Oryctolagus cuniculus: one gene and its partner. The protein of the gene in region 1 binds, or shares a complex with, the protein of each later gene. Links are inferred from orthologs where the notes say so. Each region holds a gene or a part of one and is shown on either strand. Other genes may lie near its edges.

Region 1 (4,291 bases):
CAGTTTCCCCAGCTCTACAGAGAAAGCGCTGGTCTCTGGCTGTGTGCTGTGTGTCTGCGCTGAGTTGTCAGCCCTGGTTTCCCCAGCTGGGGGCGGGGCCTTGCCTGCCTTCCTTGCAGTTGGGGCAGATGGACAAGCCCCCCACCCCCGCAGGTGCACAGAGGGAGGCGGGTGGTGATTTCTGGCTCCCAAAGGTCCCTTCCCTGGAGGGGGCTTTGCCCCTTCCTCTGGGGCCCTCTCCTCCCCCAAAGACTCTCTCCAGAGCTTCACACCCAGCTGAGTGTGCAAGCAGCTGTCACACAGCTATGCAAGGCTGCCCAGCCCCAGCCAGGCCAGGCCCCTACACCCTGCTCCACACACGGGGCTTCCCGGGGCCTGGGGTGCTCACTGCCCCTTCATGAGTCCTCAGAGAGTCCTCCAGCCTGGTACTGTCTTTCTAAAAAATTTTATCATTTTTATTTGTTTGAAAGGTAGAGACAGAAATCCTCCATCTGCTAGTTCACTCCCCAAATGCCCACAACAGCTAGAACTGGGCTGAGCCGAAGCCAGGGGCTGGGAGCTCCATCCGGGTCTCGCCTGTGGGTAGCGGGGGGCCGGGAGCTCCATCCGGGTCTCGCCTGTGGGTAGCGGGGGTGCCGGGAGCTCCATCCGGGTCTCGCCTGTGGGTAGCGGGGGGCCGGGAGCTCCATCCGGGTCTCGCCTGTGGGTAGCGGGGGGGCCGGGAGCTCCATCCGGGTCTCGCCCGTGGGTAGCGGGGGGCCGGGAGCTCCATCCGGGTCTCGCCCGTGGGTAGCGGGGGGCCGGGAGCTCCATCCGGGTCTCGCCTGTGGGTAGCGGGGGGCCGGGAGCTCCATCCGGGTCTCGCCTGTGGGTAGCGGGGAGCTGGGAGCTCCATCTGGGTCTCGCCTGTGGGTAGCAGGGGCCCGGCCACCTGAGCCATCAGCTGCTGCCACCCACAATGGTGCATTATCAGGAAGCAGGACTCGGAAGTGGAGCTGGGACTTGAACCTGGGCACTTTGATACGAGATGTGGACATCCCAAAGTGGTATCTTTACTAGTGCATCAAATGCCCTATCCCTCCCCCACTGCATTGGCCGCAACTTCTGCATCTTTAACACGGGCCGAAGAGTATGGCCAGGGGCAGCTCAGAGAAGCTGGGAGTAAGGGTCCTGGTTCGAGTGGAGACCGTGTGACTGCAGGCGAGGGGCCTCTGTATTTCTGTGTGGCGGTGGCGGTGGGCGCATCCTGCCGGCGTCATTCAGGGCCAAGGTGACGTCCAAGACAGCCTTGTACTGACGAGAGCTCAGCAGACTGTCAGGTCCTTCCTCACCCAGTAGGGAGGGGTCCTCCTCCTTTGGGGCTGGCTGTGTGACCTTGAGCAGAGTGCTTTGCTTCCCTGGCCTCAGTCTTCCCATCTGTACAGTGGGAATAGGATGGGGGCTGAACCCTAGTCCCCGGGCTGCCCTGCCCATCGACCTCCCAGCCCCGCCCTGTGGGTTGCTTTGGATGCGAGGCCTCTGTGGCTGCCCCGTCTCTGTCCCCAGCCCCGCCTGGCTCTTCTGCCCCCTCCCTCGCTCTCTCTGCCACTCGTTGCCGCTCACCACCCCCATCTCTGCCTCTTCTCTCCCGTCGGGCTCTCGCTTTCTCCTCCCTCCTCTGTGTCTCTGGACCCCCGCTCCAGCCAGACCTGGTTCACATTCAGATGGCTGCAAAGGTACTTCCGCCCCTACCCCCTCCCCAGGTCCCAGGGCTCCTCCTGCCCCTGTCCCCGTCCTCCTCTCCTCCTCTCCTCCTCTCCTCCTCTCCTCCTCTTCCTCCTCCTCCTGGGGCAGTTAGTACAGAAGGGGCCTGGGCAGTGGGCTGCGCCACCTCGACCCCTCTGACGAGATCGCTGTGTGACTTTGGGCAAGTCGCTGCCCCCTCTGGCCTCAGTTTCCCGTGGCAGATGGGTAGGCTGCAGGAGGGGCCTGTAGTTTGCGGCTGAGGACCCTGTAGGCGTGAGCCATGGTTTGTGACAGGCAAGCACTGCTCTGCTCTGCAGGCTGGGGCCTGGGTTGCCCCTAAGGGTGCCCCTTGGCCTCCACCCAGGTCTCCCCAGCTCCTGGCGTCTGGCTTCTGAACCTCAGGGCTGGGGGAGACTCGGAGGGTGGAACCTGACGTTCCTCTTGGGCGGGAGTCTTCTCTCCCATTCCAGTGTTGCCTGCCCCCGAGGACCAGGAGCGCCCTTCTGAAAGGCCTGGCCTCTGCTCCGTGCACGGAGACCCTGGCTGCCTTCTGGCCTGGGAGGGGGGCTGCAGGCCAGCTCCATGGGGCAATGCGAGAGCTCCCCTGGTCCCAGCCTCGCTCACTGCAGGAAGCCAGCGGCCCTGGGCTGGCTGCTGACGGCTCCCTTGGCTCCGTGCTCTCCCCTGTGCAGGGAGGGAGACTGGTGGCTGGCCCACTCGCTCAGCACGGGACAGACCGGCTACATCCCCAGCAACTACGTGGCGCCCTCCGACTCCATCCAGGCCGAGGAGTGAGTATCTTCCTGGGCGTCTGCTCACCACTGCTCCTGGACTGCTGGGCGAGGTTGAGGGGTCCAGGGCTGGCGGAAACTGGACTGCTCACCGCTCGTCCCTCCCTCCCCAGGTGGTACTTCGGCAAGATTACCAGGCGGGAGTCGGAGCGGTTACTGCTCAATGCAGAAAACCCAAGAGGGACCTTCCTGGTGCGCGAGAGTGAGACCACGAAAGGTAGCAGCATTCCTGCTGGCCAGCAGAGGCTGAGTCTTTTGTGGGTTCTTGGGGCTGGGTGTTGCAGAATGAATAGGAGTTTGGGGGTAGAGAAGGAAGAGGATGAAACGGCAGGACAGAAGTCAGGCAGGCGCGTGTCTAAGTCAGCGGTGGGAGACGGGGTGCAGCAAGAGGAGAGACGAGACTTCCGTGGCCTCAGTTTCATCAGATGAGGACGGGCCCAGGTTGTCATGAGGTCCAAGTGTCACAGCACAGGTTTGTTCCCAGAATGGGTGCGGATGCAGGGGGCCCTCTCTTCCCCTTCCCCAGGGGCCTCTGGGGCTGCAGTGAGTGCTGGGAGCCGGCCTCGGCCTTCCCTGGCCAGTCCTGGCCCCGCCCCTCCTTGGGAGGGGAGGAGGGAGGCAGAGCATCCAGGCCAGGTGTGTGCGTTTGAGCCCTCAGGCGGCTTTGTACACGTGGGCACCCCTGTGCAGGTGTGTGCCTATGTGTGTGTGTGTGCACATGTGGAGGTTGGGACTGTGGGTTCGTCCTCACGCTTGGGGGCCTGGGGAGTGTGTGGCTGCTGGGTGTGGGTGTGCCAGCAGGTGTGTGCACCTGTGTGTGTGTGCATGTGCGTGTGCACACACCTGTGGCGGTCACTGCCAGCTGCAGCCTCGGGCCTCTGCTCCTGCCTGCCCTTGGCCCAGGCCACCTGCAGAAAGTCACAAGACACTCAGGAGGCGGTTCAAGGCCCGGCTCGGTCCTGACTCACCGAGCGACCGGGGGTAGCCGCATGCTGTGTTGGCACCGCGGGTGTTACCTGCCTGAGTGCGTCCCTGGGAGTTCGGTGGCCGGGAACTGCCTGCCAGGCCCCAGAGAAGGCCTCTGCCCCCAGGACCCAGTGCTGCCCCCAACACCGGCCAGGCATCTCCTGGGCAAGGGTAGCATGGGCTGCCAGCCAGGCTGGGCACCAGGAGGGCCACCGTCTGGCCACACACAGCACGTGGTCTCCTGCCTGGGCCTGACCTGTCTGCAGAAGGGGCCGGGCGTGGACTGTGTCCCCAAGGGCAAACCTGGGAGCGAGGGGCGCATAACCGCGGGGGCCGTTCCCAGACTCCCAGAAAACCTTCATGGAGTGCCCGCTGTGCCAGGCCCTCTGCTCTGTGGTCTCCTTGACTTCCCCACAGCCCCGAGGATGCCCCCATAGTGCAGAGAGGGAAACTGAGGCCCAGCAGCTTGTCAAGGTCTGGCTGTCTTCCCGGCGGTGGGCCATGGGCTGGCCTCCCCGGGCCCAGTGCCAGGCAGGCCCCAGCACAGTGCTTGGTGCTGGGGTCCTGGGGCGGGAGGGGTGCAGGTCCGGCGGGCATGGCGGTCACGGTGCTGCCTCCCCTCGGCCCGCCCCCTGCAGGTGCCTACTGCCTGTCAGTGTCGGACTTCGACAACGCCAAGGGCCTCAACGTGAAGCACTACAAGATCCGCAAGCTGGACAGCGGCGGCTTCTACATCACCTCCCGCACGCAGTTCAGCAGCCTGCAGCAGCTCGTGGCCTACTACTCCAGTGAGTGCACGGCCGCCGCCT
Region 2 (5,087 bases), about 11 Mb from region 1:
GACAGGAAAAAAAATGCACAGGCAGCCGTTTCCACGGGTGACAGCCTGGAACCCCCACAGCAGAGTTCTTACTCACGCCTCCAGGAAACTCAGCACGCACTCGCTCACGTTATTCAATACCAAGTCTTCTTTGTTACAGGTTTTGAGGACGCACTCCTCAGAGATGCAATGGCAAGCGGAGCCAGGATCCCAGGGCCGACAACGGGCAGCTGAAGCCCTGGGCACTGCCAGTGCCCCGGCTGGCGTTCCAGCCTGCCTCCTTCCCAAGTTCCCACACACCAGGACGCCCAACGGCGGTGGCAAGGGGCTCTTCCCGCCACGCTTCCTCCTGTGCTCCCTGCCTTTTCCAAAGCGGGAATCCGACACCGCAGTTCAGTCCACTCAAACCGGGCTGCAGGGGAACCTGGAGTCCAGCGGGCCACGCGGGGTGGCCAGCGCTTCCCGACCCCTCCGCGTCACTTCCGGCTGTCTTGTTGCTGCTGGTGTTTAGCTAAAATGAGTCATGGTTTATAGATCTTTCTCCTCTGCCCAAAATGCAAGTTCTCTCTTTCCCCTGAAGAGAACGGTATTTAAACAAACATGGCTGGGCCGCTTCGACATTCATCTTCTTGGAACACCCCCGGCTGGAGACAGTGGAAGGCGTGTTAGTGGAATTACCGTCCTGACGTGGTTTGAACCTACTGGGGCAGTAGGCTGTATTTCAGTGCGAAAGCCGCCCTGAGGACAAGCGCCAGTTGGCAGAGTGGCCCCTTTTACAAAGCCTGCCTCTACCGTGGAGCCCATCTCGCCTGCAAGTCACGATCCGTGTTGCAATCTCCTGTATCTGAAACAATCAAATCATTCACGCTGCGCAGCTGAGGCCGAGGACAGCGTCAGAATCCGCGCTTTGAGAGAGAACAACAGGCAACACCTGACCCAGTCCCTGCATCTGCCGGTGCCGACGCTCACCCCTCCCGCACGGCCGGCCCCTCGCACCAGGACGCTCCCACTCTCCAGCGGCGACCGCACGTCACGGACATGCCAGAGCGCGACTCTAGTCATCCACGCAGGCCGTCACGGCCGCCTTCACGGACCGCAGGGCGAACAGCAGCCTCAAAGGCCCGCGCCGGCTGCTGCTCCTTCCCGCGGAGCTGGCGCATCTCGGCCCCTCCCACCGCGCCGCCCCTGCGCCCTCCCCATCTTCGCACCTGAGCAGAGAGAGAAACGAGTGCTGTGCTCTTTTCCACAGCTGTGAGCGGGAGTGACGCGACGTCTCTCACCGCACAGGCAGGGCAGGCTCGGCTAACGGCTCAAGGCTGTCCTCGCCCACCTACTATAAATCCATGCCATAAAATGCTATTTTTTTTAACTTCTATTTTCTACCAAGTGTAATAACGTTTCTTTGAAATCCTGAAACATAGCGGTTTTGGTAAACGGACACACACCGTAGAAGTTAGCTACTCTGGATCCAAAGTCACCTGAACTGTTTTTAAAAATGCCACGGTTGCACGACCAGCCACTTTTACCCTAAAAAGAAAGAGGTTTTGATTTCGATTTTAGAAAAGAACAAGTCTCCACAGCAGAGGTGAGAAAAACCCACAATGATGATTCTTCAAGATCAAAAGATGATGCATCCCTGGTTGTGGTGATCCATCCCGAACCAAGACCGAGGTCTCGGCTGGCTCGCGGGGTGACGCGGGGTGGACACTCAGCGGGGAAATCCCCGCAGAGCGGCACCGCGCTCGCGCTAGCACCTCCAGCCCGGAAGGCAGCCAGTCTGCTCGCCAACTCCCACATCAGATGTGGCCGCGACTGTGTAACGTCAACCTGCAGAGAGCTCAGCCTGCTTCAGGATCAGAGCTCCCCCTCACCCCGAATGTCTACACCCGTGACGAGTTCAGAGCTTCCCCCTGAATGTCTACACCCGTGACGAGTTCAGAGCTTCCCCCCGAATGTCTACACCTGGGATGAGTTGTACCGTAATCAGCTTCAACGCTTCAGATGCAACAAATCCACTCAGAGCCGCTGCAGACCCTCTCCGAGCCCCGGCTGGAAGGCGGTCATAGCTCCCGAGAGACCAGACTCGCACGGTCACACAGATCACAGCCGCTATAAACGCGAGTCCATCAGGTGCTGGCACACATGGCAGTGTGCATGAGAGGACCCCAGCAAGCACGCTGTCGTCAGCCAAGCCCACCAGAGACCTCGACACCCCGCTGATGAGTCTCCCAGTTCGCCCCTGGGCCTGGGAGCTGCTACTCCCTTCACCCGCCGCGCCCTGCCCACGGCCACCCGGCAGTGTGGCTCCGCTCAGCCCTCTCGGCCCCGCAGTGGCATCTCACGGAGAGGGCCTCTTTGTGTCTGCCAGGCAGAAAGCCTAGCTCCCGGGGCCCCGCGTGGGCTCCTCGGCCCGCCGGCCCCTCCCCGCGCGGCTCGCGGCGCCCGTGTCCCCGGGCAGCCCGCCCCCGTGCTCTCCGGAGCCGCCCGTTCCGATGCGGTCCTCGGCGCAGCCCTTGTCACTGAGGCTGTCCGCTCCGGTCCGGCCTCTCCCGCGGGGCTCAGCAGCCTCCATCCCCGGCGCCCGAGCAGGTGCGCGGCCCGCGACGCGGCAGCCGGCTCACAGCCCCGGGCGAGGGGGCTGTCACCCTGGGCACCGGGCGCGCGCGGAGACCACGGCGGGAGGAAACGCGGGGAGCGAGCGCGCAGTAGCCCCGTCCCCAGCGAGACAAAGGAAGGGCGTCCGGGGTGGTCCGGGCCAGAAGAGGAAGCCGCAGGGGGGCCAGTCAACCCCCGGGGCGGGGCGGGGCGCCCACCGGCGGCCTCCGCGCAGAGGCGGCCGCGCCGGGGCAGGGGGCGGGTGGCGGACCCGAACGGGCTGCGCGGCCCACCCGGGGCGCACAAAGAGAGCGGGGCGGGGGGCGGCCCGCGCCGCCGCCGGCTCGAGTCCCCCGGCCCCGGAGCGAGAACGGGGCCCGGGCGCCCGCGGGGAAGGCTCACGCGGCCCCGGCGAAGGGCCTGCGCGCGCCGGGGTGCTCCCGAACCTGGTAAATGGCCGCCCAGCTCCCGGCCTTGTCGATCTGCTCGAACTCCTTTTCCATCTCCATGACGGGCCAGGGCGGCCGCTGCGCCGTCTGCCGCTCTAGGCCGCGTCGCGCTCCTCGCCTCGAGGCCCGCCGTACCCCGCAACGCCCGCCGCTACCGCCGCCCTAGCCGCCGCCGCCGCCGCTGCTTCTTCATGTCAACCCGGCAGCCGGAAGTACGCACAGCGCCTGCCGCCGACTCCGCCTCCGCAGCGAAAGGAGCAATCAGCGCCCGAGAATGTCGGCCAGCACTTCCGCGGGGCGGGTCCGGGGGCGGGGCTCCGGGGACGTCCGGCAGGGAACGCCCTCCTCCCGCGCGAGGCTCGGGGCTGGGGCGTGGCGCGCGCGCGTTGCCTCGGTGACCGCGGGGTCCCGCGAGGTGCGGGCGGAGCTGGGGCTGCCGCGGCGGCGAGGCGCGCGCGGTGAGTCAGAGTGGGGCCTGGGAGTCGTCCCGCGTCTGCCCTTCAGTGCGGTGTGCGGGGGGCTGGGCTCTGGCCGATGGCCGCCCCGGCTGCTGGCGAGGGCCCGGCCCTCGAGCGGTAGTGTCCCTGGCCGAGACGCTAGGAGTGGGCGGGTGGGCGTGGGAAATCCCGCGGGCCGCGTGGTGGACAGTGCAGCCCGGCTGACCAGGGTACCCGTTCCTGGAAACAGCGGGAAAGGCTGGCCGACTGGCCGCTTGGCCACATCCAGGCCTGGCTTTGCCACGGGGACATTGTGAGGGCCACGGGCTGGGGGGGAGCCAAGCTGGAGGGCCCGTCCTCTGACCCCTGTGCCCATGCCCACGGCCAGCCCGTGCTGCCTGGCGCTATCGGTTGAATTCCAGCTCATTCCTTGGGCGCCTGGGGCAGGCGCTGGGCCTGGCGTCCCGAGGACGCGCTCGGGTCATCTGCGCGCGCACCCCCTGGAGTAGGCACTGCCAGCTCCAGTTCTGGGGAGACGGAGGCGCCGGGAGGGAGAACCACCCGTCCGGAGCAGCACTGGATTCCCGCGTGCGTTGGGGCGGGCTGCCTGGGTCCAAATTCCACCTGGGCCACAGCCTGGGGGAGCCGCAGGTGACCGTGCATCTGCGCCCTCCAGGCCCTCGATGGGTGATGTGCTAAAAACCAAGACTGGGGTACAGAATGCTGTTGGCCTAGCGGGGAGCCCAGGAGCTCAGCCCAACAGCAGCAGGCGGGCAGGTGGACGGATTCACCTGCATCTGCATTGCTGGGCTCTCTGGAGGCCTCTCTTGAAGCCGAGGGCCCCACAGGGAGAGTGGAACAGAGGCGCTGGTCCAGGCGAGAGCGGCCTCATTTACCTCCTGGCCCCGGGAAGGCCGTGGGCTGCTCCTGCCCCTTCCATTCGCGAGTGCCGGTTTGTCTGGGACTCACCGCGATGAGAGCGCGGGCGGACAGAGAACAGACCTGGTTCAGTCCTGTCGCCGTCGTACGCAGAGCTGATGGGTAAATAGATCAAGGGCCCGTCCTGAGCCCCAGCGGCCCTCACGCCTGCAGGGTGACCGGCTCCGCCTTTGGGGCCACAGCTGGTCACGGTGGAGGCTGCTGTCATCAACTACTGCCGATTCCGGGGCTTCAGTTGGCAGAGTGCATCCTCTCGCAGTGCTGTAGGCCAAAAGGTGGGAGTTAGGGTGTCCACGGGGCGTCAGCCACGTGGGGGCAACTCCTCCGGCCCGGCGCCGCCGGCTCCGCCTGTCTGCTCGCTCTGCCTCACGCCGACAAGGACACCTGCCGTTGTGGGGGCCACCCTAATCCAGAACGGGCGATCCCAGGGCGCCCGGATGATCTCAGCTTGAGATCATGAAGTTAACTGTACCTGCAAAGACTTCTCACCCAGGCACTGGGTGTTAGGACTTGGCCGTCCCCTCGGTGGGGCCCCCGTGCAGCCCACACAGGGGCAGGGGAGGAAGTTCCCAACTTCGAGCACCAGCTAACGCCCCGCGCATTCACTCTTCACCTGACGGCAGCCAGAGATGTTAATATGTGGACCATGATCCCTCCTTTGCAAAACTCAAGTTTCCCATTCCAGTTA

The links.
Region 2: the proteins of SRC (region 1) and PTPN1 are in contact, whole or in part, in a crystal structure (PDB 3ZMQ), measured with the Homo sapiens proteins. The link is inferred for Oryctolagus cuniculus from reciprocal best matches to the Homo sapiens genes SRC and PTPN1. Residues at the interface, in NP_005408.1 of Homo sapiens: Glu527, Gln529, Tyr530, Gln531, Pro532; in NP_002818.1 of Homo sapiens: Arg45, Tyr46, Arg47, Asp48, Val49, Asp181, Phe182, Ser216, Ala217, Gly218, Ile219, Gly220, Arg221, Ser222, Gln262.

The regions. Positions count from the first base shown.
Region 1 is NC_091442.1:21,176,882-21,181,172, reverse strand, and holds part of SRC (proto-oncogene tyrosine-protein kinase Src), read left to right. Parts: intron 1-1,682; coding exon 1,683-1,715; intron 1,716-2,417; coding exon 2,418-2,516; intron 2,517-2,629; coding exon 2,630-2,733; intron 2,734-4,120; coding exon 4,121-4,270; intron 4,271-4,291. UniProt on the Homo sapiens protein: Non-receptor protein tyrosine kinase which is activated following engagement of many different classes of cellular receptors including immune response receptors, integrins and other adhesion receptors, receptor protein tyrosine kinases, G protein-coupled receptors as well as cytokine receptors.
Region 2 is NC_091442.1:10,308,620-10,313,706, forward strand, and holds the start of PTPN1 (tyrosine-protein phosphatase non-receptor type 1), read right to left. Parts: upstream 3,232-5,087; 5' UTR 3,084-3,231; coding exon 3,021-3,083; intron 1-3,020. UniProt on the Homo sapiens protein: Tyrosine-protein phosphatase which acts as a regulator of endoplasmic reticulum unfolded protein response. Mediates dephosphorylation of EIF2AK3/PERK; inactivating the protein kinase activity of EIF2AK3/PERK.